3 linked regions of the Canis lupus familiaris genome follow. Each later gene encodes a partner of the first gene's protein in a complex. Links are inferred from orthologs where the notes say so. Each region holds a gene or a part of one and is shown on either strand. Other genes may lie near its edges.

Evidence for each region.
Region 2: the proteins of PLXNA2 (region 1) and NRP1 are in contact, whole or in part, in a crystal structure (PDB 4GZA), measured with the Mus musculus proteins. The link is inferred for Canis lupus familiaris from reciprocal best matches to the Homo sapiens genes PLXNA2 and NRP1. Residues at the interface, in NP_032908.2 of Mus musculus: Asp273, Leu274, Phe275, Glu306, Lys341, Gly342, Gln343, Lys344, Gln345, His348, Pro350; in NP_032763.2 of Mus musculus: Glu78, Arg80, Asp81, Lys83, Tyr84, Asp126, Tyr127, Glu128, Thr129.
Region 3: the proteins of PLXNA2 (region 1) and SEMA6A are in contact, whole or in part, in a crystal structure (PDB 3AL8), measured with the Mus musculus proteins. The link is inferred for Canis lupus familiaris from reciprocal best matches to the Homo sapiens genes PLXNA2 and SEMA6A. Residues at the interface, in NP_032908.2 of Mus musculus: Ala93, Cys94, Tyr95, Pro96, Lys155, Gln192, Asp193, Tyr194, Asp220, Phe221, Val222, Pro229, Ser230, Asp231, Leu386, Lys389, Val391, Thr394, Lys395, Ala396, Pro397, Val398, Leu407, Asp408, Ile409, Asn410, Gln411; in NP_061214.2 of Mus musculus: Arg108, Met109, Lys110, Gly111, Met162, Ala163, Thr188, Phe190, Leu191, Ile193, Tyr198, Thr206, Arg208, His212, Asp213, Ser214, Glu219, Gln266, Arg267, Glu270, Lys271, Lys393.

What each region holds. Positions count from the first base shown.
Region 1 is NC_049228.1:6,645,915-6,656,744, reverse strand, and holds part of PLXNA2 (plexin-A2), read left to right. Parts: intron 1-3,914; coding exon 3,915-4,154; intron 4,155-4,984; coding exon 4,985-5,128; intron 5,129-5,384; coding exon 5,385-5,619; intron 5,620-8,011; coding exon 8,012-8,154; intron 8,155-8,832; coding exon 8,833-9,101; intron 9,102-10,760; coding exon 10,761-10,827; intron 10,828-10,830. UniProt on the Homo sapiens protein: Coreceptor for SEMA3A and SEMA6A. Necessary for signaling by SEMA6A and class 3 semaphorins and subsequent remodeling of the cytoskeleton. Plays a role in axon guidance, invasive growth and cell migration.
Region 2 is NC_049223.1:3,707,441-3,718,270, forward strand, and holds part of NRP1 (neuropilin-1), read left to right. Parts: intron 1-4,787; coding exon 4,788-4,943; intron 4,944-7,435; coding exon 7,436-7,602; intron 7,603-10,830. UniProt on the Homo sapiens protein: Cell-surface receptor involved in the development of the cardiovascular system, in angiogenesis, in the formation of certain neuronal circuits and in organogenesis outside the nervous system. Mediates the chemorepulsant activity of semaphorins.
Region 3 is NC_049232.1:6,385,963-6,395,943, reverse strand, and holds the end of SEMA6A (semaphorin-6A), read left to right. Parts: intron 1-4,347; coding exon 4,348-5,546; 3' UTR 5,547-8,487; downstream 8,488-9,981. UniProt on the Homo sapiens protein: Cell surface receptor for PLXNA2 that plays an important role in cell-cell signaling. Required for normal granule cell migration in the developing cerebellum.

The sequences.
Region 1 (10,830 bases):
CGAATGATAAGACTCTCCTCGCAGGGCGGTAACACGCCCGCGGCGGGCACGGGGTTGGCACCCGACAGACGTCAGTGGCTGCGTGCGGCTAGTTCCACGCCCGTTGCTAAGATGATCAGTTGAACGTTTTCCTTTACTCCGCTATGCAGAGCCATGTAATTTAATTTTTTTTTCCTCTACGGGTTTTTGTGATTTTTAGAGAAGTTCCTGATCATAAAAGCGGAACGTCTGAGATGTCATTATACATTTTTTTGGTTTGTTCTAGTGGCTCCATCTCAGTCTTGTTAGCCAATATTTTCTGAAACATTATTGTATTCATAATTATAGTCCAGGAGATGCTATTATGGCCATTATTTGTCAGATAATTGCTATTATTACTGCTCTGACCCCAGGGGATTGAGTAGGCTGTGATAGAGATGGTAAAGACGGTACTGTATCTATCGTCTTCTCCCTGACAGGTTCCCAGCATGCTAGAAGCTTCCTTAGGAAACACAGAAAGGCACAAAATGCATGGTGTTTGAAGGCTAGATCTGGAAAGGTTACAGGGATCCTCTGGTCCATCCCCCTTCATTGTCTCGCTGAAGAAGTGAAGGCCAGAAGGGAGTAATGGCTTGCCCGGAACTATGAAGGTAGCTAGCTGGTAGTAGGGTCACCTGGATCCCCCAAACCCAGACTCTTCATGACTAGACCACGTGAGATGCTGGCGATTGGGTTGTGACATTCCCTCATGGCAGAGATGTGGGGACACCTGTATCACACCTTCAGTGGCCACCATGGTCGCAGCTCTTTGGGCTGAGAGACCACATGCCTCCTTATCCCAAGTGGAGAGTCTGATCCATGAATAAAAGAGCCTATGTCTCCCTCCACTTCCAGACTGAGCCCCGTGTTCCCAGTAGCTCACAGACCATCTTGTCCAACTCCAAGGCCTAAGTGGGAGGAAGGAAGGTGAGGGTAGAAATGGGAACAGTGCGCTCACCCTCGGGAGGGACAAAACCCCTACACAAATTAGGTACGTGTTTTAAAACGTAGGTTCTGTTATGACTCAGGTATGTCAAGGCCAACAGCATAGGAGACGACTGCAGGGAAGGGGGTCTGCTATGCCCTGGGGTCGGGGGTCGGGGCAGGTGGGAAGCATCAGTGTGGGTGTAGAAGGGGGGGGGAGAGGGAGAATAGGGCACTGCGGCAAGAGCCTTTATTATGGCTTCTGCAGGAAGGAACCCACCAGGCAATGTAAGCAGGTTTAGGATTGCCCGGTCAGAATCATTTCTGAGGGCTCTGGGGCTCAGGGGCTGTCCCTAGCTGCCCGGTACTTGGCCTGGTCTGATTAGACATGGTGGGTAGTTGTTCAGAACGTGGAAAAGCAGGTGGTCGGGGGTGTGGGCTCTGGTTTGATTGGTTTGCAGTAGAACAGTGTGCCCTGGCAGACAGGCAAGTTGTTTGCTGTCTCTAGGCCCTGGCTGGCCCTGGGAGGGGACGGCCCCAAATGTCACAGCATCAGAAATACAGCAAGTATTTGACATGGTTAACGTAGGACAGAGTACGTATGGGACTGACAAGGTTAACCTCCAAAGCCTGCAGCCTTAGTGCCCAGGGAAGCCGTCTGGAGAGAAGACTGGTCTGGGAAGGCCTTCCTTGGACCTGACATCCATCTGGAAAGGTCCTGATGTGTCCTCTCCCCTCACCAGGGTACACTAGTGGCCCCGGATGGGAATTTCCCGAGCAAGTCCCCCGGTGCCCATCCCTCCCATCATGCCATTGAGAGCCGGGGGTGGGGGTGTCTCAGCAGTGAGCTGCCCGGGGTGTGCAGGCTGGCATGCCCGGAGGAGACGCCTGGACGAGTGGTTGTCACCTTCCCTGTCTGGAGCGGTGGGAAAACAGCGCCCTGCCCTGCAGGCCTGCTTGGGGCCCGGCTCATCCTCAGCCCATCCTCAGCCCAGGGGGGCTACCTCTTGCTTCTGGGTTTTGAAGCAGCCCCCGGGGGTGGGGGGGACTAGTGAGAAGGGCCAAAGCAAAGGCCGCAAAACCCCAAGGAATGTTTGGCAAACAAAGTGCCGAGGCAGCACCAGGCAGGAAGCAAACAGAGGCTGCTTGTTTCCGAGTGGTTTGCTTATTCACAGTCCAGTCTAGGGCGCTGGCAGGAGTGCGCACGAAGGTGGGGGAGCAGAGTGAAGAGGCCCTGCCCCGAGTTGCCCAGGCCCTGAGACTCCCGGGTTCAGCCCTGCCCCTCTGAGCGTACCCACCTGTCCCCCCTGCCCCAGCGTCCCCAGCTGGAGCACCGAGGGGACGTTCGTTTCCCAAGGGGCTGCCGCAGTCGGAGGGGAAAGGGTAGGAGCGGGCCCGGACCTCCAACAGGACCCGAAGCCCCCTGCGAGCTCTGCTGACGAAACGCTTCAACTCCTTCTGGAAAGTGGGGGTTAATCCTTGGAGCTCTGACATCATCTCTGCGCAACTGTCAGCTTTTCTGCAGTTTCACACGAGGTCTTGTTTTCAGAACATGAAGCCCGTGTGCGTGTGTGTGCGTTGGCCAGACTCACAACACGTGTGGACCTGCCAGGACTGCACGTACTTGTGCAGCCGAGATCTCCCAGATGCCCTTGGCTGTCGCTGGGACACCCGGAGCCCGAAGCGGGGCCTGCTGAGTGCAAGCCAGGCGGAGTGGGGGGGAGGCCAGGTTTTGTCCACCAGCCATACAGGGGTCCCGTCGTGGTTTCTCTAGCCTGGCCGCTGCCTTAGGCAGCCCTGGAACTAAACCACCAGAGGAGGGCATGGCACCACTCGTGCTAAGCAGGGGCCAGCTCAGCTAGGATTTCAGTAGGGACACCGGGGTCTACCCAGAAAGAGAGGATGACTTTTTTTTTTTTTTTTTCTTTAATTGACTTATTCATGAGAGACACAGAGAGAGTAGCAGAGACACAGGCACAGGCAGAGGGAGAAGCAGGCTCCACGCAGGGACCCCAACGCGGGACTCGATCCCGGGTCTCCAGGATCGCACCCTGGGCCAAAGGCGGCGCTAAACCTCTGGGCCACCCGGGCTGCCCGAGAGGACGACTTGAACTCCGTGGTGCCGAGCAAGGGAGCACCTCGTTGCAAAAGAGAGAGCTCCTGAATAGAAAGTTCAAAGAGCTGAAGGATTCTTTTTATTCATTAGTGTATTCAATAAACATTAACTGAACACCTACTACGTGCTGGCGGAGTGCTCATCTCATGCTGTTCCCTGCTCCAGAACACATGCACGCGCGCGCACACACACACACACCTTACACTGCTCCTGTCCTGCTTTGCCTGCAAACGTTCTGTGCTCCGTCATCCCCAGGCCAGGCCTCTGCTGCTGTTCTGTCCCCCTGTGGCCTGTCCCCACACCCCACCTTTCCTTGTCTAGCTCAGTCCCACTCGTTCTTCAGATTACATTACACTCAGTTCTTCCAAGGGACACTGTCCCTGAGTCATCCTCAGGCCACGGCCGTGCACACTCACACACACGCAGGTCCTCCTACCCTACCTGGTCCTTGCCCACTGGGGCATTCCTCACACGCAGGCCCCGTCTGCACTCCAGGGCCCCTGCCAAGACTGCGTTATAAAGCACGTGTGGTCCTTTTTCTCCCCCTGCAGACCGTGACGATGTCACTAGATGGCCCCAGCTCCTAGCACAGCCCCTGGCACAGAATAGATGCTCAAACAATGCTGGTGAATGAATGAATGAATGAATGATGTTAAATGCAGCCCCCCCCCCCCCATTTCACAGCTCTTTTTGCCAAGGGGACTGATCCCTAATGAAGACAGCTAAGTAACCCAATGCTAACAGCCCACAGCAGAGGGTGGGAGGTGGTAGGGTGACACAACCACCCCTACCCCCGCACCCTCCACCTTACCCAATGCTTAGTCTGCATTTAAATGCCATGCTCTGGGCCTCCTAGGTGTGCAAAGTTGTGAACACCACCACGCTGACCTGCCTGGCACCCTCTCTGACCACGGACTACCGGCCCGGCCTAGACACTGTGGAACGGCCAGATGAGTTTGGATTCGTCTTCAACAACGTCCAGTCTTTGCTCATTTACAATGACACCAAGTTCATCTACTACCCCAACCCAACCTTTGAACTGCTCAGCCCCACTGGAGTCTTGGATCAAAAGCCAGGATCCCCCATCATTCTGAAGGTAGGATGTGCAGAGTGCAGCCTGCCACACGCCGTGATGGTGACAGCCCCCTCCCCGGCCCTTCTTGTTCACCCCCCTGTGCACGCGGACTCACAAAGCTGCCATCTCCCTGAAAAGGGAGCTTGTTTATAGATATCGACCCACTCTGTGATATATCTCGCACTTGGGATTCTCAAGAAACACTTTACAGTATTTCTGTTTGTTCTTGTGAGCTCTGGGACTCCAAAGTTCTGCAGCACATTGGAAGTAAACATTCCCTTTTATTGACCGCTGCCATGGCCACCATAACCTGCGCTCACATTTCAGGAGGTCACGGTTCCCTGGAATTATCCGTCCGCCTGTTTTGTTACTTTCGTTTGTATCCCAAGTGCCCTCCTCCAGATTTTCACTTGTTCACCATTTGGTCTCCTCTTCCTGTCTTCTTCCCCCATCTCGTCCTCCCTTTCTTCCTCTCCTAGCATTTTCCCCTCTGGCTCTCTAAATTGTGGCCGTTTGATGTTTTCTCCAAAAACGTCTTGGGGAGGGATGCCTGGATGGCTCAACAGTTGAACGGCTGCCTTCAGCTCAGGGCATGATCCCGGGGTCCTGGGATCAAGTCCCCCGTAGGGAGCCTGCTTCCCCTTCTGCCTACGTCTCTGCCTCTCTCTTGTGTCTCTTATGAATAAATAAATAAAATCCTAAAAAAAAAAAACTCAAAAACTTTTTGGGGAGCCATCTATTGGTTTTTGCATGGCTGCCCTTCCCCCACCACCCTAATCTTTTTTGGAATAAGCAATTAACTTCTGTGTGCATGTGTCCATTATTTCTATTAAGATTACTGTTATTTGCAGGGCAAAAACCTCTGCCCTCCTGCCTCTGGAGGTGCCAAACTCAACTACACGGTGTTGATTGGAGAGACCCCGTGTGCTGTCACTGTGTCCGAGACGCAGCTCCTCTGTGAGCCTCCCAACCTCACGGGGCAGCACAAGGTCATGGTGAGTGAACTCTTCCTTTCACGACTTCCTCCTCTCCTGGCTGTGCATGCATGATCTGTCCTAAAGTAAGGCCGTCCGTCTACCTCCTGCATAGCTCCTCGTCACCGTGTTCTGCATTGAAATGGGATAAAAAGCAGGAAGTTGTCTCTTATCCAAGTCTGTATTGTGTGGTTGTGGTCTTTCATGCCCTTTCTGAAACGTAAGGATTCGATGGCATGCCAGGGCTCTACAGCGTCTGTGTGTGTGCAATGCACAGGTTCACGTGGGCGGGATGGTGTTCTCTCCTGGCTCGGTGAGTGTCATCTCAGACAGCTTGCTGACCCTGCCAGCCATTGTCAGCATCGCGGCGGGCGGCAGCCTCCTCCTCATCATCGTCATCATCGTCCTCATTGCCTACAAGCGGAAGTCTCGAGAAAACGACCTCACTCTCAAGAGGCTTCAGATGCAGATGGACAACCTGGAGTCCCGCGTGGCCCTGGAGTGCAAGGAAGGTAAGTGGAGGCGCTCCCTCGCTTCCTGGACCCATCTTTCTTCATCAGCCTTATTACCTCCTCCCTACAGACAACTCACCTCGATAGTCATTCCTTCCACCCTAATCCTCTGTTTGCCCACAGGCCTCCCTTTGCCTTTAGCACCAGAGAAGTCCTATTAAGGGTGCCTGCAAGGAGTGGTGGTGGTGGGGGGTAGTGCTCAGTCAGTTGAGCATCTGACTCTTGATTTCAGCTCAGGTCGTAATCTCAGGGTCGTGGGATCAAGCCCCACATGGGGCTCTGTGCTGACCATGGAGTCTGCTCAAGATTCACTCTTAAAAAATTAAAAATTAAAAAAATAAAAGAATGCCCAGGGTGAGGCCCCAGGCCTGCTCATCTTGCTCTAGTCCTTCCTGTGCCCTGACTCACCCCCAAGTTGGCCCCCTGACTCTCCCTTCCAGGGCCTCTGTCTCCCCACAGACACAGCCTCCCAGGCCAGGCTCTCAGACCCCAAAGACCCTTCCCTCCCCCCACAAAATGGAAGTCCAGCTCCTGTGTCCTGCGGAGCTGCCCCAGGAGCATGTGCAAGCAGCAGCAGCAGCAGCAGGAAGGGCAGGGAGCTCCCACCTGCCTCCTGCCTCGCCCCCTCCCCCAGGCCTTGTTTCCCACCCCTGCCACAGGCGGAGGGCTCTGAAGGCCGCCACTTGCTGGTGTCCTTGGCCACGGATGCATGTGAGAGTAGAGAATGTTTTCTTCTATCTCCCACGCAACCACAGCCTCGAGGTAACAGGTATCCCTGGCATCTTCCTCGGGCTGAGGACCTAGCAGGCTCTCTGAGCAAACATTTCATTGAGGAATGAAAACATTTCTCCTTTTGCTGCAATCGTCAGGATCAGAAACAAGACCTCTGCTGGATGAAAGGGAATATAGGGCCGGGGCAAGGTGGGGAATGGCTTCTCCTGGTGCTGGGGGTGCAGGGGGTGCATCAAGGGCACCCCCAGGCTGGGTTTGGCATTCTTGGTGTCCTCTGTGTGGGTGTTAAAATATACATAAAATTTACCTTTTTAACCTTCACCGTCTAGACACCCCAGGACTCTTCCTTCCTCTAGTTCATGGGCGTTAAGTGCATTCACGTTGTTGTACAACCATCCCTACTACCCATCTCCAGAACTTTCTCATCCTCCCCCGCTGAAACTCTGGGCTCATTAAACAAAAACCCCCACGTCCCCACCCAACAGCTGCTAGGCACCCATCATGCTACTTTCTGTCTCTGAATCTGACTACACTAGGGACCTCGTGCAGCAGAATCATACCGTATTTGTTCTTCTGCATCTGGTTTACTTCACTAAGTCGTAGCATGTGTTAGAATCTCCTTCCTTTTCAAGGCTGAGTCATATTCCATTGAATGTAGGGACCACTTGTGGTTTATCCATTTTTCTGTCCACAGGCATTTGGGTTGTTTCCACTTTTCAGTACCGCAAATAATATTTCTACGAACACAAGTATTCAAATATCTAAGTCCCTGCTTTCGGGTCTCTTGGGTACATACCTAGGAGTGGAATTGCTGGATCCTCTGGTAATTCTGTTTCTTTTTGGAGGGAGCCACCACACTGGTTTCCAGAGCAGCTGCACCAATTTACATTCCCATCAGCAGTGCACAAGGGTGCCTGTGTAACCACATCCTCTCCAATACTTGTTGTCATCCATTTTTCTTTAAAGAAAAATGTGTTATTCATTTATTTATTAATCTGAGAGAGAGAGAGAGAGTGCCCACATGTGCATGCACGAGGAGGGGGAAGGGCAAAGAGAGAGGGAGAGACTCTCAAGCAGACTCACCCGCTGAGCACAGAGCCCGACTCAGGGCTTGATCTCAGGACCCTGAAATCATGACCTGAGACAAAACCAAGAATCGGCCTCCTCATCAACTGAGCCACCCAGGTGCCCCTCCAGTTTTCTATAATAGCCCACCCTAATGGGTGTCAAGTAGTATCTCATGTTCATTTTTGTGCAGGGTTTTTGCATCTTGATTTATTCTCTTGCTTGAAAGAAAAGGGGAGCAAAGCTGCCCATTCTCATCTCTTCTTCATCCGCTTGGTCACTGCCTGCCTCCCAGCTGTTTCTGGAACCTGCAACCCCATGCATGCCCCAAATCATACTGTTCTTCCCTTTGCTTTGTTTAAACTACACTTACAGTACACAGGCACGTCCAAATTATGCATCAGCATAGAAGAGGACATAACAGAAATCGCCCACATGCCCACCACCTAAGAAAGGAGGCCTGGCGATACCTCACCCCTTCTGGAGATGCATCCCTACAACCCTCCCTGTCCCGGCACCCCAGGCCCACCCCTCCTTCTCCTGCCTTTCCCCTGGGTGCCCTCCTGAGCCCCCTGGTCTCCCTGCACTTTCATAGCTTTTGCTGAGCTCCAGACAGACATCAATGAGCTGACCAGCGACCTGGACCGCTCAGGAATCCCCTACCTGGATTATCGAACCTACGCTATGCGAGTCCTGTTCCCTGGCATCGAGGACCATCCCGTGCTGCGGGAGCTGGAGGTAACATCTGCCACCCTTCCCGAGCCACCCAGCAGGAGCACAGGGCCTGGGTGTCCTGGCAACGCGGATGGGGCTCCAGAGCTTAGAGGAAGGTCAGGATCCGGGAGGGGGGGCGGGGGGGAGGAACAGCCGGGAACAGCATCGCCACAACAGGCAGGTCACGGCCAGCGGGGTCACACGGGCTCTTTGGGATGATTCCAGCTCATTGTCATCTTTTTAATTAATGACTAAATTAATTAACTAAGAGTGTATCGCATCCTCAGATGGATTTAAGGTGGCTTAAGGAAAGACACATGATTCTGGGAGGTTTGTTTGTTCGTTTGTTGGTTTGTTTTACGAAAGATAATAGATCAGGGCAGAGAGGATTAAAGGGAGACTCGTAAGCCAGGCAAGTGTGGTGGAGCATCTCCTAGTATCCCTGGGAAAGTCAGACGGCCGGCACCCCACGGACGGCTCAGCCTGGAGCCAGGCCTCCCAACCCCGTGGACGGGCGGGCACACCGGGGACCTCGAGGCGGGCTGTTCCTCCCCAGACCGGGAGTAGGGGGGTGGGGGGGAGGTGGGGGGGCAGTTATAGGCATCCCGGGGAGAGGCCTGTCGCTCTGGCCAGAGGCCCCCGGGGAGAGCCGGGCGGGGAGGCGGGAGGCGGCCTCTGAGGGCGCCCGGCCGTCCCCCCCAGGTGCAGGGGAACGGGCAGCAGCACGTGGAGAAGGCCCTGAAGCTCTTCGCCCAGCTCATCAACAACAAGGTGTTCCTGCTGACCTTCATCCGCACCCTAGAGCTCCAGCGCAGCTTCTCCATGCGCGACCGGGGCAACGTGGCCTCGCTCATCATGACCGGCCTGCAGGGCCGCCTGGAGTACGCCACCGACGTCCTCAAGCAGCTGCTCTCCGACCTCATCGAGAAGAATCTGGAGAACAAGAACCACCCCAAGCTGCTGCTCCGGAGGTCGGCCCCGCGGCCTGGGGGCGGGGGGCGGCGGGGAGGGCAGTGGGGGTCCCCACGGGTGCACGACGGGCTCCCCGTCCCCCCTGTGACCCCACGCACCAAGGCCTATCCGGCGGCTCAGCGCCACGGAGGAGCCCGGGCCAGGGCTGGCAGCTGGGCTGGAGCCCCAGCTCCGTGACCCCGAGCCCGGGTGCGGCACCTGGTGAAAGCGTGAACCTCGGGTCCCCCGTGGAGCCGGTGCGCCCCGAGGGCTCAGTCGCCACGGGCCGGCCACCCTGCTGGACACGCGCTCAGAGCATTTCCATCATCCCAGAAGCTTCTGGGGGCAGCGGGGGGCTGGGCCTGGGTCCGGCCCACCTCTTCTGCACCCCGCTTCCGGGACCCCAAGTGACCGGCGGCCACCACCTGCCCCCACCCGTCCCCCGTTGCCATCTTCACTGGCAGGGGAGAGGGCTGGAGCCCTTGGCAGCCGAGCCCACCGTCCCTGAGGCCCAGGGAGCAGAGCAGAGCTCTGGAGCTCCCCACCTGCTCCCCTCCGGCCCCCTCCTTAGCCCACCCGGAGCTCCCAGCTCCCAGCCAGCGAGGTCTCAGGCTGCCAGACCCCACGTGGGCCCAGGAAGGAGGAAGAACGTCTTTGTTTCACGACTCCAGAGCCCCCATCCTGCCAATCTGAGCATTAGAAACTCTCATTAAGAACTGTTGTATTTAAATTAGAGCTAATCTCAGGCACAATGCAGGGAGAGGGTGCTGGGAGGGGCCCGGGGACAGAGCTACAATTTCTTCTGCCATTGTCACTCTTCCCCAGGCCCAGACTGCTGAGCAGCCCCGGCAAATGCCTGGGATCTACTGCAACCAGAGGGTATAATTTGCACCACGTGCACGGTGTTAAAATCCCCCTCGGCATCCCCGTCACTGAGGGTCTGTCACAGGGGCTTTGTTCCTTCTCATTCCCCAGATCTGCAGCCCAGGAAACGGGGTGGGGAGGGGTGCTGTTTGCAGAAGCAGATCCCCTGTCTGCTAAACACTGGGGCACCCTGGGATCCACGGCCCCACACAGTAACGACAGCCAAGGCTTCAGGCGCTGTTCCGAGCCCTTTATGTATATTAACTCATTCAGTCCTGACAACAGCCCCCTGAGATAGACATTATTGTCATTGTCCCCATTTGGAGATGGGGGAAATGAACCCAGAGGGGGAAAGGACTCGCCCAGGGTCACACAGCCAGTACATGGCATAGTCAGGATTGGAATACAGGTGGTCCGATGCTTCGAGGTTGGAGGGGCACACGTACCAGGGACCTCCTGGGCAGGAAGAGGAAGTATTTGGGCATGCAAGGAATCGCAGAGGGACCGAGAAACTCTGTTTCTCATCCCGAGGCCAGCAGGAAGCAGGGAGCACTGGTGACTGACAGCCCTGTGGAGTGGCGGACTTGGTGCCTCCATCCGCAGACCCGCAGCACCACTCCATTTCCACGGGGAAGGGAGGCCCAGAAAGAAGAAGCATCTGGCCCAAGGTCACACTTCCAGCCCTGGGGTCCTGGCTGCCAGCCCTGAGTCCTTTGATGCCCTGTTGCTCTCTTGAGCCACGTTGCATGCAAGCCAGACCCCCTCTCCGAGACCTCTCCATAAAGGACTGCCCCTCATCCCTTCTCCCTCCCCAGGACAGAGTCTGTGGCTGAGAAGATGCTGACCAATTGGTTTGCCTTCCTCCTGCACAAGTTCCTGAAGGTG
Region 2 (10,830 bases), on another chromosome or scaffold:
ATTCAATTTAGCTATGTACCTCAACAGTAAACAGCAATGAAGATAAACTGGGTTTCGAGAAAGCTTATATTGTCATTGGAGTAAATGGGTGAGCTATCATTGGTTTAGTTTCCTCTTTGGTCTTTTACTATATAAATAGGGTTATGATGATCTTATCAAAACTCCTTCATTAAGTAATGAGATTTGCCCAAACAGAGTGCTGATTGATTTCCAAGTGTTCAATCCCGATAATTAGGAAAACAATATTATAATAGTATTGTAATAATAGTTGGAACATTTAATAATGGGTTTATTTGTTCACAACCAAAATTTGCAGCCTTCCTTTCCAGAACTTACATTTAAATTGACATCTGAAAAGGAGGTCCAATCAACCAACTTATTTAGAATACTTCCAGAAAGAAGCACATTGTTATTAGTGTCAAGGGTTTTTCAAAGTAGTAATTTTCTGGCTCTAGAAAATCACTGAGTTGAAGCAAGGAACAATTAACAATAAGAGTTATCAGCCTCACAATTCAGTCGTGTTTTAAACTATGGTGCACTTGACTTATTCCCAGAGCAAGCTGGCCTTGGAATATGAAAATTGCTTTTGTATATTTGTTATAACTTACCTGGCTTCATCCAGCCTACACCAGCATAACAGCATTCTCCTTTTTAGGCAAAGTGGCAGACTGCCCCTCCTGGGTTTCTTGTCAGTGGCACTAGAAACATTTTTGTCATGCTAGTCCAACACATGCAGTTCCTTGCCAGCAAAACTGCTTTTACTCTCTTGATACCCTTTCCAAAAATGACAACCAGAAGGTGCTGAATGAAGGCTTTAAACCACCAAGAGATTTTAGGTTGCTTTTTATCATATACGTTGAGTTAGGTGACTAAGTCATTGACAGCCACCATTGATTCTGATTGACTTGGAAGGAAAGTGGTTTTACTCCAGGACTCAGAATCCTATGCACATGCTGAATCACACATTCCTGTGTGTCACTCTGATGCTCCATGGATTCCTAAGTAGCGACTCTGAAATAATTGGTGGAAATTTACATATGGTTTGTAAGCAATGAGCTGAGTGTGCCACCCTGGTGGGTATCGCAAATGTTTGTGCTGAATCACGAAGCCAAACTCGAATGCTTAGCTCACACGGCCTGGGCACACACAAAATCAGCTCTCCTTCTAGGCTCTGCCAAAGAGGTGGCAATGCAGTTGTTACCTACATTCCAAAAATTGTCAACTATTTGTAGAATAAGTGTCATGAAAACCAGATTGAGTTGTCTTTGGTTTGTATTGACTTCCTATTTATTTTTGAATTAACCTTCTGAGATAGAAATATAAGATAAAAATGATATAAACATAAAATATACACATTCTGAAATGTAAATGACACAACTGTGCACATTTTTTCCCCAGGGGAGAGTTGCAAAGTCCACATATTATCCAACAAAAAGTTTATTATTGTAGGAGAAGAGTATATGGTCTATTTTGTACCTTATCGAAATGATTCCCTTTTTTGTCTAGTCATTCAGAATGTGTCATTTTAAAAGTACATCTTATAGTAGATTGCTGCCCTAGAAAGGGGGCAGAGAGCCAAGTTGTCAGACTCTAAGGTGGGGTTATAATTCCCGGAGAGATTGATGGAAAAATACAGAGAATAAGGTATGGCGATTTCAGGTGGCAGATGTATCTTTTAAATAGCACGAATACCGTATCACCTTCACACCTGAAAAGAGGATCACTGGGGGTCTACTGTCCCCACCATGAGATTTACTAAGGCCGTGTTGCTTGCTTAAATTTTTCAATAGTGCAATTTTTGAGTTCTACTGCTGTTTTTGTGACAGTTTCCATTCATCTCCTTGGCCTTTGAGTCTACAATGACGGAAGTAGGAAATCCAATAGCCGTGTTCATGTAAATACACAAATGAGCACACACAGGAGACGGATAAGAGTACTCCATCCACTCTTGCTCAGATCAATATTGCATTAGCTTGCTAGGCTAAGGTCTTGCTGTTGTTCAGGAAAATTCAATACTTCTTTGTCTTATGGTCGAAAAAGCCTTTTCACTCTCCTGTCTTGAGGGCTCCTAAAGGGAGTTGTGCGCTGCTGTCCGCGGGCAATGTTCTGAAGGACAGAAGGCAGATTTACCCAGCATGTCTTCAACATTATAAACCAGTGAGTCATGGAGACTCTCTAAATTATGAGTCTGCATTAGACAAGTTCTCTTCTGTTTGCTCTTTCAAAGAGTCTCCCTCTACCCCCCTTCCCCAGAGGAATGGGGTGGTAGTGGAGGGGAAGAATCTGCAGTCACAGCTTAAGGGGGCGAGTACAGCTTCCCTTGTGCTCTTGTATTCTCTGAAGGGTCAATGGCTGTGGGGGATCAGAGAATGGCTCCAAGGTTTCGGACTTTATTAGTTTGCCCACAAACTAATAAGAAAGAAAGAAAGAAAGAAAGAAAGAAAGAAAGAAAGAAAGAAAGAAAGAAAGAAAGAAAGGAAGGAAGAAAGGAAGGAAGGAAGGAAGGAAGGAAGGAAGGAAGGAAGGAAGGAAGGAAGGAAGGAAGGAAGGAAGGAAATAAAGAAAGAAAGAAAGAAAGAAAGAAAGAAAGAAAGAAAGAAAGAAAGAAAGAAAGAAACCACAATAATGGAATTTAAATGAGGGAAAGGAGTGAGAGTCTATGAATGGACTCTAGGATTCTCATTATGATTACAGATCAAAAATGGGATTCTTTTTGAGGAAAGGAAAGATCTGAGCTCACGGCTCTAGCATGATATTTTCATGCCTGTGTCATGGGCAACTTTGTACTCCAGAGGGAAGAAAAAAAGTATTGAATCTATTCAGAATGAAGAAAATCTGGCCTAGAATTAACACTTGTAGAGGAAGCTGAGGCTCAGGTTAAAGCTGAAGAGAAACAAAACTGAGAGTTTCACCTCCTGAGATGCTGCCAAGTGGGAAGCTTGATAGAACAACATTTTCTTCCTGTGATGCAGAGCCATGGTTCATGACCATGTGGCATCCTGTAGATAATCTTATCGATGTCCCAATGGGCTCATGTCCTTGTTTCTTCATGATAAAATGGTCTACACACACACAGTGTCAGGTTGCTGGAGCGTGAGGAGTTACAGTAGAGAGAACTCTTTGAATTTGATCAAATCAGTTACTGTGAATGCATGGAGAAGTTATCAGATATTCAAAGTAACCATTCTGCGCTAACTCAAATGTGGAAACAATTTGGTTGTTTTTTGTTTGTTTATTTGTTTGTTTGCTTGGGGGGTTTTTTTGTTTATTTGTTTGAAGTGGGTTGGCCAAGAACTGAAAACCTGTTCACCAAGCCTCTGACTATTCTAGAAGCAGGGTGCCCAGCCCAGCCAGCTGCTTACCAAGAACTCAGCGTGTACACGCAGCTCCAGGGAGATCAGCATTTAGAGCTTCACTTTTTCAATCACATTTGAAGCTTCTCCTCCCCATCAGCTGCCTTCTGCATCTGAGTCACACACACAGGCCTTGGCACACCGTGGCCCTGCTGTAGGCCTGACTCTTCAGAGAGGAATCCACCCACTGTGCTTCCTTGAACAAAGCAATAACTCTTAGTTGAAATGCAGAGAACCATGGGTTTCTTGGAGGGGAAAATGGTCCACACCAGATTGTCCTTCTAAGCCCAAACCATCTGGTATGTTTTTACCATATGTGCAATTAAAAAAAAAAAAAAATCTGGAGAAAAAGGGATTTTTTTTTCTTTATCTTTTTTTTTTTTTTTTTTTTTTTTTTTGCCTTGCTGATGATCTGGACAGGAATTGGAAAGATTCTCCAAGCCCAGAGGGCTTGTGCACTGTCTGTAAGGCAACTTAAAATTACTAATTGCCAAGGTTTATCTAAAAGCACTTCAATAAAGGGGTGGCCCACTTAAACCAAACAGAAGTCTGACTTAATCACAAATTAATCAGTGTTTCCAATCTTTCACTGCCCCCATACTCCTTTTTTTTCTCTCCCAGTATGCCCAGTCAAATGGCTGCATTGGGCCATCTTTTGGCCGCAAGACACAAGTGCAATGCAGTCACCTCTCTTAGATTTGGGAAAGAAAAAAACTGGGAGAGAAGTCAGACCCATTTTCTTTTCATTTTGTTTTCAACTTATTATTATGTATGAATTACTGATCTATGTAGCTTCTATTTGTTTTAACTGTTACAATTGTTAATTAGCCTACAGTTAGAGCCCTGCGTAGGACATAGTACATCATCCTTTGTCCAAGTCTGTGATGTTATTTATGATAAGTCTCCAGGACTAAAAGATGAAATGAGGAAGGATGTTGGGGTCATTCAGTGCTGGATCAGATTCTCGGTACTGGTCCAGTCCCATCCAGCACCAGTTCCTGAGATCTCCTTCCAGGGTGGGAGAAGTAAGTGAGGCAGCTGCAGGAGCCCGCGGTCATCACAGCCTAGCAGGAATCTTTCAGCACTAGGTGTTGTGCACACTTTGGGCCTGGAGATGAATGTTCAAGGTGCCCCTCGACAACCCAAATCTCATTCTTTGCAGTTGAAGCAAGCATTTAGATCCTGTTCTTGAAAACAATCCTGCTCAAGGGGGAATGTAGTTAGGTCTGTGATTGCCCTTCTGAGCACGCTTTAAAATCCTCTCCACAAACCTGATCCAATACTTGCACTGCAAACCCATCAACCAGGGAAGACTTGCTTTGGATAAGAGAACGCTTCTGGGTTCTGCTGGGACCCATGTTTGCAAATGCTTATTCTCACATCTGCTGGGGAACAAAAGATATTTCAATGTTCTCCGCATTGCTCCCTTTCTAGTTGGCCCTCACATTGGCCGTTACTGTGGACAGAAGACACCAGGTCGGATCCGTTCCTCATCGGGCATTCTCTCCATGGTTTTTTATACGGACAGTGCAATCGCCAAAGAAGGCTTCTCAGCAAACTATAGTGTCTTGCAGAGCAGTGTCTCAGAAGGTCAGTATTTATTCATCTTGCAAAGCACTGTGGTAAACACTCCCTGCTAATCCTCCTCACACACCTCGTGGCCACAGGAAACACTAAAGAAATATTTTGTGAACTGGATTGCCAACTATTTGTTTTTCTTTTTTATTTATTTTTTATTTTTTTATTTTTTTTTTATTATTATTATTTTATTTATGATAGTCACACAGAGAGAGAGAGAGAGAGGCAGATACACAGGCAGAGGGAGAAGCAGGCTCCATGCACCGGGAGCCTGACGTGGGATTCGATCCCGGGTCTCCAGGATCGTGCCCTGGGCCAAAGGCAGGCGCCAAACCGCTGCGCCACCCAGGGATCCCTGTTTTTCTTTTTTAAATGGTTTTGATGAATATCAATAGGAAAAACTATTTGGTATACTTTCTTAAGAAAATTGTAGATGAGAAGGCTGCTTGTAAGCCTCTGAACTTATGGGAGAAAGTAGGAAATGGGCAAACAGTGCCCAAAAACAATGAACTATATAGCCAGGCCATCTGTCTGGCTTGAAAGTGTACTGGGCTGAGATCATAAAAGGACAGGCATGGATAAGAAGAGATAGGAACAAATCTGTGGTGGTTTATTGACAGGGCAGCCTTACCGGATAGATGCAGACTCATGATGGTTCAGGTAGTGAAGACCCAGACAGAAGCCATTTTGTTTTTCTTTCTTATGTGAATAAAAGTAGATATTTGTATAAAAGAAGCATGTTTCAATTTCTGTTCTAACTTTTCCACAAAAGAAAGAGGAAGTAATATGTTTTGCATCTAATTAAAATATTGAACAAACTCAACCCTTCCTCAAAGTTTATGTGATGGTGTCCATCCCTTTCAAGAGCCCAAGAAAAACATGAGAAAGAACAATGAATAAATTGTGTGTTTCAACAGTTCTAGCTGTCAGGTTATAAAGTAGCATAGGTTAGAGACCAGGAGATGTTTGGAGATTTGTCCTACAGACTAGTATCTTTTTTACTATTCTTACTGGAAAATAAAAAGGCCAGGTAAATTACAAAATCTTATTTGGACTTCATATGATTAATTAATTAATTTATTTTTGTGTTTATAAATATTTTATATTACAAACAAACTTAAGCTTAAAAGTATGGAACCTGTGAAAGGGACCTTTAATTATCTTAAAACTTTATCTGTTATGATAGAAAATTCATGAAGTGTGAAAATTTGCTTAATTGAGATTTTTCTCAATGGTTGAGAATCTTTAATCTCTAAAATACTTTTTTCACTTTAGTGCTTCACATTCACATTTCCTAAAGGTGACTATTCACTTCCCTATATCATATTTCACATCAATGTCATATTTCATTGTTTCACTGAGTATATGGGGCCTAATGGAATACATGCTTTTGTGATTCATAATCATCATTGTGAGAATTATTATTTTATGTTGTAAAGCTGTGGTCCTCTTTGGGACCATATGATGCTGCAGTTTACTTCTGACAAATATTCCTGTATTTTATTTTTTTTTATTTTTTTTTAAACTTTTATTTATTTATGATAGGCACACAGTGAGAAAGAGAGAGAGGCAGAGACACAGGCAGAGGGAGAAGCAGGCTCCATGCACCGGGAGCCCGATGTGGGATTCGATCCCAGGTCTCCAGGACCGCGCCCTGGGCCAAAGGCAGGCGCCAAACCGCTGCGCCACCCAGGGATCCCAATATTCCTGTATTTTACTAATATAAACTAATGACATGAATAATCATGACCAGGCCAAGGTCAGGAGACATGAGAACAAAGGGAGTCAAGGAGAGGTGGCCCAGGTGCCAAATACAAGGAATCTGAAAGACAGCGAGCTAAGGTCTACTGTCCACTGAATATGGATTATAAATAGACATCGAGTCTTTTTCACTTTTATTAGGTATTGAAGGAAATAGTAATTTTTAAAAAAATATTTTACTTATTTATTCATGAGAAATAGAGAGAGAGAGAGGCAGAGACACAGGCAGAGAGAGAAGCAGGCTCCATGCAGGGAGCCTGATGTGGGACTGGATCCGAGGACCCTCGGATCACACCTTGAGCCAAAGGCAGATGCTCAACCACTGAGCCACCCAGGCACCCTGAAAATAGTTAAAATTTTTAAATTTTTAAATAAATTTTATTTAAATATAGCTTTCAGTACGTATCCATGTCACATATCTACATATATTTAACTTTGAAAATAAGTCAAAATTCCCATTATTTCCTAATACATCTCTAATAGTATTTCTGTCAACCTAGGTCCAGTTAGGAAAATAATTAATCACTATGAGACTTTCATAGCCTTGCATTTAAAAATTATCATTATTACAATTATTGCCACCTGTCACTGCTATGTCCCCATAAGTCCTTTTGCTGTCATCTTCTGTAAGACACTGTGTGAACATCAAAATGAATGTTTTAGATTGCAAGATTATAAAAAGAAATATGCATCTCAGGTCTCCTTTGTTTTGATGACATTTGGCTCCTTTTTTTCCCTTTCAGATTTCAAATGTATGGAAGCTCTGGGCATGGAATCAGGGGAGATTCATTCTGACCAGATCACAGCTTCTTCCCAGTATAGCACCAACTGGTCTGCAGAACGCTCTCGCCTGAACTATCCCGAGAATGGGTGGACTCCTGGAGAGGATTCCTACAGAGAGTGGATTCAGGTAGGCAGCATGAGACTTGGCACATATAGGGTTGAAGATTTTGGTTGTCTAGAAAGGTTGTTGATAAAAAAAAAAAAAAAAAGAAAGGTTGTTGATAAAAATGCAGTGCCATTTCAGACACCTTCAAATGAGAAGAGAGGACCAATGGGTAATCCCTGCAGGATCATCGTGTCCCTACAATCTTGAGAAAAGCAGCCCAGCTGATGTCTCTGAAAACTCATTTATTTTCTCAGATACTTTTATACAACTCTTCAGAGAATCTGAGCACAGATGTCTCACTTTGGTAACAACTAAAAGATCTAATTTTTCCCCACAACTACACATTTTTCTATTCAGACACTAACTCCTTCAACAGATTTTTATTTTCTTGACGAAATACATTAGCTCTAGCAGACTCGCATGAAATAATTGCATCTAAGGATAAGGTTTCTTATTCGTTTGTTTGTTCCGAGTAGATGAAGAGAAGAAAGGGGTTGAGGTTGACTTTTCCATACAGGTATACATGGCACATGCCCAAGAAAGCAGTCTGATTGAGGGCACTGGTCTTGGTGGATTATGTGTATACATGTACCTATATAATGTACTTGTATAAAGTGGACACATCTGTATTCTTATAATGATGTTGTTTCTGCTTCCCCCCTTGGCCCTGGCACTCCCTTCCCTGCCCTTGCTCTGGCATTCCCCAGAGACCCTCCTCCTCTGCACCATGACTCCCCTGCCCTGCCTCATCTCTGGCACCTCTCCTAATGCCTCAACTTGTGCCAGCCTTGATGTCTGGATACTCCCACCCAAGGCCTGATGCTCATGTTCTTGACTTTTTCACCCCCTGTCAAATGAAACATCCAGATCTGGCTGTGTGGGTTAAACAGTAGGCAAATCATACAAAGCTATTTGCTGAAGGATCCAGGCATCCTTTTTAGAGAGTAGGCAAAGCTTGTCTTACGTTCGTCGCTAGATATATAAAAATGACTAATTCCCAGAGAGAGTTTCTAAGCAAGAAAAAAAAACAAGATGATTAATCCCGTACTTTTTACATCTATTGCTGCTTCAGTCTTTTGAGTACAAATACCAGATTTTGCTTTACTTTGAAAAGGTCAATATTAGTTTAACATACACTTAAAGTGAAATGGCCTATTACAGAAGACTGAACTCCTGCTAACCTGTAAATGATAACACGGAGAAATGTGTAGAGGGTGAGAAAAGATGAGACTTTTACCTGGGGATTGCTAAATCCAGCTCTAGATTTAGTCAGAAATTAAATGAATTTGCCTTGGTAACTTGTTTTTCCACATCCCACACCTACCAACACCAGTATGATTGACAGACGTGCCTCTAGAGGAAAGCTTGCATTTTGTAGTGCTAAGCATGTCTGCACAGTAAGGCAGGCCTATTCTTGGTGATGTGGAGAGTGCTGGATAATTTAGGGACAGTGATCTTGCAGGGGTTCTGAAATTGCAACTGTAGCAATTCTTCTGTGCAAGGCAATTCTGTCAGGAGAAACATGGAGGCAAAATGGGCTCTCACAAAGCCTTTGTCCACAGGACGGGATTCACCTCATTCTCAGGAGTTAGGCAGAAGAAAAAAATCTGAAATGGCTCAACTCTTTCCACCAAAGCATAGAAAGCAATGGTTGGGAGAAGCTAGGTAACTCCACCCCACCTCCCAACAAGGTTTGCTTTGAGCTCAAACTTCTTGCCTGCGTCATCTCTAATGGGCTGACGATCCACTCCACATCTCACACCAGGACCCAGACAGACAGAGTGGCCATCATCTCAAACATTGCTTGTCACCAAGCAGAGGGAAAACGAGAGCATGGCCATCGTGCTAGCTCTTAAGGTCCCCTCGAAGAGCATTGCCACCCATTTTCATTGCCAAAGCACATCCCACAGCCATACTTAGCTTCTGAGGGGCAGCAATTCAGTGTGCACTGGAGGGAGGAGAGCTAGAAATTGGATGAACAGCATGAATGACAAGTGTGCCATTCATAGAATAGTCACCATTTATTGAGTGTTTACTGTGGGGCCTGACTTCTGCTGAGTACTTGACATATTTGCATTTAATTCTCACAGCAGTCCTGTGAAGGAGGTGCAATTATCCTCATTTTAAAAATGAGGACACTGAGATTCAGAGAGATTAGTAAATGCCCAAGGTCACAGTGAGTGACCGGACTTGGAAGCAGGGTCTGTTAGACTCCCAGTACCTGTTTCTTTACACTTCAGTCTTCTCTGTCCTTATCATCTGTTACCTTGCATATAAATTCAGGTGCACCTTGTGACTTGATTCCCTTTATGCTTTTCCTTGGGAGAAGACACACAGAGAGAGACAAGTTGGGTGCTTTACTGTTTCTAAACCTAAATATTCAGGGCCTTTATGGCTCCTCCATCCCTACAGAAGATGAATGCCAGAGAAGCTTAGCTTCAGTGCACCTCGAGGTAAAATTATCTTTTGCTCCTTGTGGAGCTCAATGGGCTCATTTCCATGCCTGTGTCTGTGTACATGGTGGGAGTTCTTATCATTCACCTGTCACCTAATTATGAAGAATTGCATATGTTTCCAGCTTCTCTGAAACTCCTTGGAAGTGGTTGGCTTGTTGTTTTCTTTGGGTAGGTGTTTTAAATTAACCAACAAGTAAAGCATAATTGAGGCTAAGGGCAAAAGGCACATACCTCCAATCACAGAAATATTAGTGCACATATATTTCTATTTATACACACATCAGTATGCAAATGGTATTTGTTTTCTTTTTCCACTTTTTCACATTTTGCACGAAATATACCCCACAAAACATGTTGCTACAGCAACAAGGACAAACACTTGCATGTGTTAAATTAATAAGTCAGTATTGGAAACTGACTTTCCTTCAAGACAGGAACAGTCTTGGGTTCCCATTGTTTTCTCTAGGAAATTACTGAGTGACATAAAAAAACAATGCGTCGTTAACCGTGGGTATGAACGTCCACACTGGGGCTTCCTGTGAGATCTTTTGTCTGCCAGAAAGCTTAAAAACAAGTCAAGAGGCAATTTAGTGGGAAGGGGCATAAGGGAAGTCCCGACTCAGAGCTGTGCACATGGTCATATCCTGCTCAAAAGGCCACTTCACATCCTGAGCAGCTAAAACCTCTTTAATTGTCCACAGCAGAGTTAATCACACTGTGAAATTTGCCCACGTTTTTCAGTCTTCCATTCTGTCCTGTGCCCTATGGCTGCTTATCTTATTATTAATGTAAT
Region 3 (9,981 bases), on another chromosome or scaffold:
CTTCCTGCAATAAGAAGGTGGAAAGAATAACCATTTAGCACCTCATGACTGGTGAGAAATAGCTGGTGGTTAATGAATCAATGCAAAGGATGTTTCAGATACTGTTTTCATTATAATGCCCCATTTTCAACCGGTGAGAACAGAAGACAGAAGACCCCGGGGTCGTTAGAGGAAGTCATTTCAGTGCCCCAGGGTAGAGAAGCCAACTCTTACCTATCCCCTATGGGGGGGTGTTGGGGGGAAACCTGGAGAGGGAGTACACCGCCCTACAAAGGCCCCTCCACCTTCTCCAAGGTCTCCATGCAGCATCTGAGGCAAGGACGTTCAACAAGCACCCTTTGCAGAGTTGAATGTGTTTTGAATTATTCAATTCCACTGGACTACCAAGTTGTTACAAATAACCCACCTATGCTCATCATCTCTTTTGGAATTATCCCAGAATGAACTTCTCATTTTTAAAATAGTTTCTCTTACTATTATTTTGAACGTATACAGAGTACCTTTATAGATTTCTTTTGTCTATTGGATGTTCGTATGATTATATTCTGTTCTGTGGAGGGAGATATAATTTGGTTCTGTACCTTCAGAAGGTTATGGTCACTGCAAAATGACCCACCAAGTTTAGAGGCCATTTAAAAGTGTCTCTACAACGTACTGCAAATCCATTTATCCGATAATCATTTATTAAGTGCCCAACTAAGAGCTCTGGTGATGGTGAGAGTTATAAATCCACATAAAATATGGTCCAGGCACTGGTTCTTATTGCTCTCTGCTTCAGTTGACATCCTTCAAAGAGCCGAAGGCAGGATTATCTTCACTAGGAGTCTAACCATAACCGCTGTGTTTTGCTCAACATTTCCTGCTTTTGTTGTTTTACTTCTTTCAAAATGCAGGACATATAGGCAGTCCTGAGACAGAGGTACATGTTCCCTTATGTTGCCTCAGCATATCCCTTCAACATTTGGACAGCACAGGGTTTGGAGCTGGGCAGAACAGGTCTATCCCCCTCCACCAAGAGACTCACAGTAAATGGAATCACATGGAGTAGCTGTGACTATTAATCTTAAGCTTTCAGTGAGCTACTAACCCACCGCTTCTCTTTCGAGGCTTCTTTTGACCTATAGATTTGTCCAGCAAACTAAAGCATTTAAGTTCTTTCTTATTTGTTCTGTATTTGCTTCTGGCAAGAACCCAGTAAGGCATTAAATGTATTAACCCCACATTGCAAATAAGGAATAACTGAGGCCCAAAGATGAGAAGTCACTTGCCAAAAGGTCACCCAGCAGTAACTGGGAGCCTAAGACCCCAGGCCTTTGGAGATCTCTAGCGCTGCTTGCACCATCACCCACACCCCGCCCTCTCTGACAAGACCATTGTGTTCAGTCCTTCACAGTGACCAATGTCACAAAGTGGATTTAATCATTTCCATGAATGGCCCTTCACCCTTTTCAGAAATATAAGCAGAAAGCTTTAAATTTGGAAGGCGTTTTCCAAAAACCACTTGTAACTTATCTTCTTCAACTGCACTTTCAACTTAATCTCTGATCTGTTTCTGACTCTGTACAAGGGATTTCTGAATTTGCACAAGCAGATGAGAGAAGCCACCTGCTTCGTGGTAGGTATCTCAAAACTGAAGAGATGCAGGCTTTTAAGACCACTATTTACATAACAAAATGAGATGGGAGGGGCTGTCTGAGACACCATTTTTCCGTATCCTCCTTGATTTGTTAACAACCCAAAAACCTGAGCTCAAATGTCATCTTCTAAAAAAGTTTTACCCAGTGAAAGAGCGAGTGGTCTCCATGAGATTAAGATAGTCAGAGACCTTAAGACAAGAAAGGATAGCTAAAAGTAAAGAAACAATGGATAAACTTGAAATTTTTGCAGTTTTTCCCAATTAAACAATGAAGGAAACAAATGGACCTCTTTAGCCTTAATCTTTCCCTGTTCTTCTTAAGCTGAGAGGTCAATTTAAATTATAAAATACCAAAGTCAATTGTAGAAAACTACCATTATAAGGACACATTTATTGGGAAGACACAGCGCCCCCCCCCCCATTCCGTGCAAATAGGGCTGCCAGGAGATGATCCATGAAATGCCCACTGCTATGAAAACTTTACCTCGTACGTAACCCCCCACCCACCTGCACTGGGGAGGTCTACCCTGTGGTCAGATTCCATGGAGATTGCCAAGTCAACGCGGGAAGTTCAACTCCTTTTATTCACAGGTGTACATTTTTGTGCCATTGTACGTAGGTGGTTAAAAACGTTCAATCCAACCCCAAACCATCAAAACTGAAAGAAAATCAGTTGCTATTTTAGCATTATGGCAAGGAGATGCAAATTTAAGGGAGAAATTTTCATTAGCACAGTTCCTTGGTGACTAGGTATTAAAACATATTTGAATGCAAGACCCCTCGCCGTTTGGGAAGCTCCACGCTGTACAAGGTGTGAGTTCTAGCAGAATTTCCTGCTGTTTTTTAGTCCATTTCTACCCCTCAAAAGTTCATGAATATAAATCTGGAAATATTTGAGAAGTGTCACATTTGGAAATTATTCAGGGTCTTGCCATCTTACACATTCTTTCCCTGGAGGTGAACTGCCTGCCCTGCCCTTAATTACCAAGAGCATTTGTTTAATCACAGAATCTTTGTTTCTCAAGAGGTATTTGCTGCTTCTATTTATTCCCCCTAAAGTCACAATCCTTTGTCACAAGACAATCATTTCCACAGCAACCAACTGTGATGTCACAACTGAGGGGAGGAGGAATGTTTAGAAAGAAGAGAGGATGTTCTCTTCCACAAGCAAAGGTTTCTGAGTTCTAAAACGACTGCTTCCCTAATCAAAATATTTTAACGGAAAGACCCCATGATCAAGCTGCATTTCTTTGAGGTCTCAGCTGTGACATACGAAGCATTTCAGAAGTTGAGGGGCTGCATGTTGTGGCTTAGGAAGGGGTAGAGATTTTTATTTCATTTCATTCTAATTCTGTGCCAGTGATATCTGCCAGTAAAATACATTAAACATATTCCAGAAAGAGTTGATTTAGCAGATGAAAAATGTGTCTCCTGAGACCAGAGAAGGTACATTTTCTGTCTTACTATCATTTCCATAATAGGAACAATGTTTACATTTCCTCAGCCCATGCAGTGCCTCTAATGTATTCATGTTCTTTCGCTCTCCAGAGGCAGGAATTGAGGTATTTGAGATTTTATTTTTTAGCTACCGCATCAAGCACTTAAGATCTGACAATCGTGATGTGTATTCTCACTTGGTATTAAAAAATAAAAGCCTCAGTGTTTGCATTTGATTAGAGTCTCTCAGCTTGGAGGCTGATTAAGCAGGAACAGGGAAAGCAACTTTCTTCAGAAACACAGCATCTTGGTTAATGTAGTGTAAGATTATTGACGGGTGTAGTCACATAATTTTTATTAAATTGATGAGGTTAGCTCTCCCGAAGAATCTCACCGTGACAGCAAACTCTAGCCATAATAATGAGTCCTGACACGTCTCAAACCCACGACAAGGCCCCAAATGGCTCTTCTTTCTCTAAATAGTCATTCAGTTCAAGCAAGGGAAGAGCTTCATTCAGATACTCAGCATATTTACCTGAAATTGAGTGTGCATGGGGTTTGGGGTGGTGTGGTGGTTTTTTTGTTTGTTTGTTTGTTTGTTTGAAGGATGATACAAAATCAGCCTAAACATTTGTAATGTGAGCTTTAGCTGTTTTCTTTCACTGTAAATGACACAAGCTGTCTTTCCTCCAGTTGCCTGAAATGCAAACATAGCTTTTCTCCAGATAGAGGCCACAGTGCCCACAAAGAAGTGGTCAGAAAAGACCCTGGAAGCCTGGAGCATTGTGCCATTTGTTCATTTATTGGACATAAAACTGTTGCCTCTCCCCACCCCCACCCCACCCCAGACTCCAAGTATTTCCACACTCTGAATTTTATGAGGGGAAGATTGAGAAAAGATGAAGGAGAGGGGGAGGAGGGAATAAATTTTGGAAATGAGAAACTGTCATATTCCATAGACTGAAGCAAAGTCGAAAGAGCATGTGCTTGAGAGGGTGGGGGTGGGGGTGGGGGTGGGGGGGAGAAGCACTTTTTCAGAACACAAAGGCGGCCACAAACCAAGGCTGTTTACATACTACCCGGGTGGGCGGGGTGGGGGGGCGGCTTGGGGAGGATTAATCAGCTGATGTTTGGCAAGCTGCGCCCCAAAACAAGTTATGCGGAGGTGCTGTTGTCCCTCACTGCTCTTACTAATGAACGGGGCGACCGCCAAGCAGAAATGAGCCTCCCCGTGTGCTGTGGGTTCTTGACGCCGTATGCGATGTCTGTTGCAGGAGTGATTCGGGAGAGTTACCTCAAAGGCCACGACCAGCTCGTCCCCGTCACCCTCCTGGCCATTGCGGTCATCCTGGCTTTTGTCATGGGGGCCGTCTTCTCCGGCATCATCGTCTACTGCGTCTGCGACCACAGGCGCAAGGACGTGTCCGCGGTGCAGCGCAAGGAGAAGGAGCTCAGCCACTCGCGCCGGGGCTCCATGAGCAGCGTCACCAAGCTCAGCGGCCTCTTCGGGGACACCCAGTCCAAAGACCCGAAGCCGGAGGCCATCCTCACGCCGCTCATGCACAACGGCAAGCTCGCCGCGCCGGGCAGCACGGCCAAGATGCTCATCAAGGCGGACCAGCACCACTTGGACCTGGCGGCCTTGCCCACCCCCGAGTCCACCCCGACGCTGCAGCAGAAGCGGAAGCCCAGCCGCGGCAGCCGCGAGTGGGAGAGGAACCAAAACCTCATCAATGCCTGCACCAAGGACATGCCCCCCATGGGCTCCCCTGTGATCCCCACGGACCTGCCCCTGCGGGCCTCCCCCAGCCACATCCCCAGCGTGGTGGTCCTGCCCATCGCGCAGCAGGGCTACCAGCACGAGTACGTGGACCAGCCCAAGATGAGCGAGGTGGCCCAGATGGCGCTGGAGGACCAGGCGGCCACGCTGGAGTATAAGACCATCAAGGAGCATCTCAGCAGCAAGAGTCCCAACCACGGGGTGACCCTGGTGGAGAACCTGGACAGCCTGCCCCCCAAGGTCCCGCAGCGCGAGGCCTCCCTGGGCCCGCCGGGCGCCTCGCTGTCTCAGAACGGCCTGGGCAAGCGGCTGGAGATGCACCACTCCTCCTCCTACGGCCTTGACTATAAGAGGAGCTACCCCACGAACTCGCTCACGAGAAGCCACCAGGCCACCACGCTCAAAAGAAACAATACTAACTGCTCCAACTCCTCCCACCTGTCCCGGAACCAGAGCTTTGGCCGGGGAGACAACCCGCCGCCCGCCCCGCAGAGGGTGGACTCGATCCAGGTGCACGGCGCGCCGCCGGCGGGCCAGGCGGTGACTGTCGCGCGCCAGCCCAGCCTCAACGCCTACAACTCGCTGACGAGGTCGGGGCTGAAGCGCACGCCCTCGCTAAAGCCGGACGTACCCCCCAAGCCCTCCTTTGCCCCCCTTTCCACCTCCCTGAAGCCCAATGACGCGTGCACATAATGCCAGGGGAGGGGTCAGGTGTCGAAGCCGCGGGAGCGGCCGGGCGCGCCCAGCCGGCGGGGCCCTCCGCTGCCCGAGCCCCCACGGAGCGGAGGACGCCGGCTCCCGGCCCGGGCGCAGCGGGGAGGCGCCGGGCCCCCGGGCCCCCACGCGGGACTCCCCTCCCCTCGCAGGCTCCGCTCTCCCTCACGCTGCGCGACAGGTCGGACTCACGAGAGACTTCAGCGATCATCACAAACACGAGCCAAAAGCACACCCCCCCACCCAGCCACCCGCGCGCGCACACACGCACACACACACACACGCGCACACACACAGGTGAACAGTGCCCGCAACCTTCTGTCCGCGACTGTGCGGGGCGCCGCCCAACAGGGCAGGAGCCCCACCTGCAGACCACAAACACGTTTTTACGAATCATGAAACGCAAAAAGACAGGAATAAAAATAAAAAGTAAAGAATTCATTGATAATTCTAACTCAGACTTTAACAATGGCAGAAGTTTACTATGCGCAGATACTGTGAAATGCCCACCAGTGTTACAGCTTCCTGTTCTGAGCAGACGATGCCGCGTTGGGCAACCAGGTCATAGGTTTCTGCTCCTCTCTTTTAATGAAATAACGTGACCGTTAACGCAAGTAACTCTTTATTTATTGTTCACCCTTTTTTCCTTAAGGAAAGGACTCTTCCACATGCCATCCTACCAACGGCTCTTCAGGAAGCCCCTTGAAGGTTAAACTATTTAACGTGAAATCCATTAACTGGAATAATTGAGTTTATTTTTACAATAAATTCACTGAGTAAATAAGCTGGAGCTGGAATTCTGAGCTTTGTGTTTGGACTGTCTGATCTCTGGCTAGAGGAAAAAGTTGCGAGGGGAATGAATATTTATTGAAACCAACCAGTTAATTTGCTGGTCGGGTCTCTGGCCTCTAACATGCAAAAAATTAATTAGCTTAAAAGTCCTTCCAGATCCTAACTTCTTAACGCAACCGGGAGAGGAACTCTTAGAATGACACATCCCGCGGCCCATTGCTGCCAACGTGGCTTTGTCAGTGGTTCCTACTTTCTGTGAAGGCACCAGCTTGTGAAACCCATCTCATTTCACCTTGCATGTGAGACCGCAAACAAAATCCACTAAAGGTGTGAACTAATTAATATGCTGGCTGCTACCTTGCATAAATTAATGGTTTGCTCACACGGGTTTTTCGTGGGGTTACATCTGTGAATAGCCTCTTTTCCACATGTAAATTTGTGCCTTACACCCTGAGTTGTGTACACTTGTAAACTGTCGTTATGATAAACTTTCCCCCGCCTTTTGAAATAAATGCAGATATTTATTTGACCCTCCCTCCCCCCACTCCCACTCCAGCCCTCTGGAAGATTCCTAGCGTCTAGCAGATGGAAGAAGAATGCAGTGGTGGTGGTGGTGGTTAGAAGCCTGCCCCCCGGGAGAGCTAGGCAGCAGCACACCCTCCAATTCACACTTCCTTCTACTCGTGCCAACTCCAGCCACCCCTTGGCCATGCCACCAAGCATGGACACCAGTGTTGAGGGTGGCAGTACCCTTTCTCCCTCCGGCGCTCCCTGCTTCCCGGTGTTCTCAGATCATTTCAACATGGTGATAGCCTCCTCGGCCAGCAGAGAAGGGACTAACGTCCCAGCCCTCCTTTCTGCCGTGTCCACTGGCTGGAGAGCACGCTGTCTGCGGTGGCCAGACACCTGGAGGGCGTCTCCAGGCCAGGGGCTCGGCACGCACGAGCACTGCACACAGAGACATGACGTGGAAGTAGATACAGGCAGGCTGGTCCCTGCTGTGATGGACGAGTAACTCCAAGTACAAAGCCAACCACGATGGATGCTGCAAAAAACGTTGACCGGGCCAGAAGATTTGTAATTTCTCAAAAAATTTCTTCATCCTTTTGTTATTATTGTTTGTAAGGGGGCGGGTGGGGCGTGTTTTTTCTCCCCCGGTTGGTTCTCATTAGCTCAAGCACACAGAAGGGACTATTGTTTACTCTATCATGAACAAAGAACTGTCAACATACTGTAAACAGTGAGCATTGTTTGGGGTTGTTGTGTTTTTTAACAGTTAAACAGTATATTTGGTGGCCTCTTTGTCTCTTTTTATTTCCAGTTTGATCTTCTGAGTTTAATCTTGTCTTAAAAAAAAAAAAAAACTTTCAAAGAAAGACTATTTGGAACAATTTTGAGTTTGTTAGTGAAAAAGTGGTACTTCCATAATCAGAGTGAGACCAGGTGTGTCGCGAGGACAGACTGGTAGCTTTGTGTTCCTGCAAACCTCCCGCGCAGTTTTGCTGTCGTTTGGGGTAGGTTTTTGTTGTTTTGTGTCGTTATGCTTTTATTCTGTTTTGTGAGCAGAATCAATGTTCACATCCTGTGAACTCTGTACCCTGAAACCAACCATAAAGTCTCTTCTAGAAACTGAGATCATTGTTTTTCCCTTCTCCCCGAATGAAGCTTGACCCCCAAGAGTATTGACCGGCAGCACCCACGCTCTTGTCCCATGGGTGGGCATCATTGCCTCAGCTGTGTTACGGAGACCTGTGTCAAAACTTCCAGCCCGCGTCCCCACCGCCCCTCAACCCATCACTTGCGGTGTTCTTCCTGAAATGCCCACATGTATTGAGCTGGTCTTTTGCATTTAAGTGTTTTTTTCCCTTTTTTTTTTTCCCCACTGCGTGTGGGGGGAGGGTCCATAAACCTGAGTGTGCCTTTGCTTTCCACCCTTGCTAGACACTGGTAGATGCAACAAACTCAGATTTATATTTGTTGTAAAGTTGTAAAAATATTGTGATGTCACCAATTTTCCTTCCATCTCCACATCCCCTAACATCTGATTCATGACGTAATGTATGTTGTAAAACAGGAAAAAAAAGAAAAAGAAAAGAAAAAAAGGGAAAAAAAAGACAAAAAAAAAAAAGCAAGGAAAAGGCTCTTTATTACTTAAAAGTAATAAAACAAGACTGTTCTACATTATCCTTTGTGTCCTGAATGTTTTTATTTATCTCTTAAGTTTTCCCTTTTGAACCCCATCCTTTGGGGTTGGAGCCTACTCTTTCCCCATCTTCAGAGCATAAATAACAGGGGGTTAGACCCATTTGTTTGCAGTACTCACACCCTGCCCAGCCCACCCCTACCCCCACCCAAATTATGGATGTATTTTCTCCCTCCACCCAGCCCTGAGCAGAGGTTGTAGCAGAAGCCACCGGTAATTAAAAGGCAGAGCACGCATTGACTCCCTCTATTCATTTTATGCATTTTCTTTTTATGGGCTTGTTCATCATCAAACATTTATGGTAGGCTTGATAGTTTAAGAGATCAAGGCTAGGATTTTAGTATGTAGGGTCCACTAAAAATAGATCCCAGCACAGATGTGACTTCAGCCTTTTTACATATTAATAAGATGGAGGGTGCTGGATTTTACTCCTTGTTAGCATTTCTTTCTTATAACCCAGAAGACACGGTGGGAGGTATATTGGGATGCAGCCCTGGATTTTTATTTTGTAGAATAGCATCGCAAGATGTCTAGATAAGGTTTACCCCCCTGGAGTATTTTTTTAAACAGTTATTTAAATAAGCCCTCAGCTACATTATTTTACTTGTGACCTTCTGAAATCTTTTTTTAAGTGTTTTCAGCAGTTCACATGTGGGAAGCTACGGGTTGGGCCTCGGTCAACACCTATAGTGATCCAGTTACCTTTGGGTATTTCCAATTACATTTGTGAATCCCACCCAGAGGGCCTGGCATGTTGGTGCAAAGTTGACTAGAATAAAGTTTCTGGTTCCTCGTTTATAAGAAAAGATGGACGGGCTCTCTGTGATTGCCACTGGGAGTTAGAAGCAAAGTGGCCAAGAGTTTGGGGGCACAAAGCTACATTTGGGCTGGTATTTTTTCTTTTTTAAAGATTTATTTATTGGAATGCCTGGGTGGCTCAGTGCTTGAGCATCTGCCTTGGGTTCAGGGCATAATCCTGGGGTAGGGATTGAGCCCCGCATCGGGCTCCTAACGGGGAGCCTGCTTCTCCATCTGCCTGTGTCTCTGACTCTCTCCCTGTCATGAATAAGTAAATAAAATCTTTTAAAAAATAAAGATTTAAAAAAAATTAAATAAAGATTTATTTATTTATTTATTTGAGAGAGCGAGCACATGCATGGGTGGGGGAGGGGCAGAAGACAAGAAGACACGCTGAGCACAGAGACCAAAATGTGGCTCAATCCTAGGACCCTGAGATTATGACCTGAGCCCAAATCAAGAGTTGGACAGTGAACTGAGTGAGCCGCCCAGGAGCCCCTGAGCTGGTTCTTTAGAATGAGTTCTCTGAACAGCTTTACCAGGCACAAGGATGTCTTGGGCAAAGTTGTCAGGTGCACTGTGCCTGGAAGACAAAAGGTTTATCGGGCCTTGAGCAGGGTC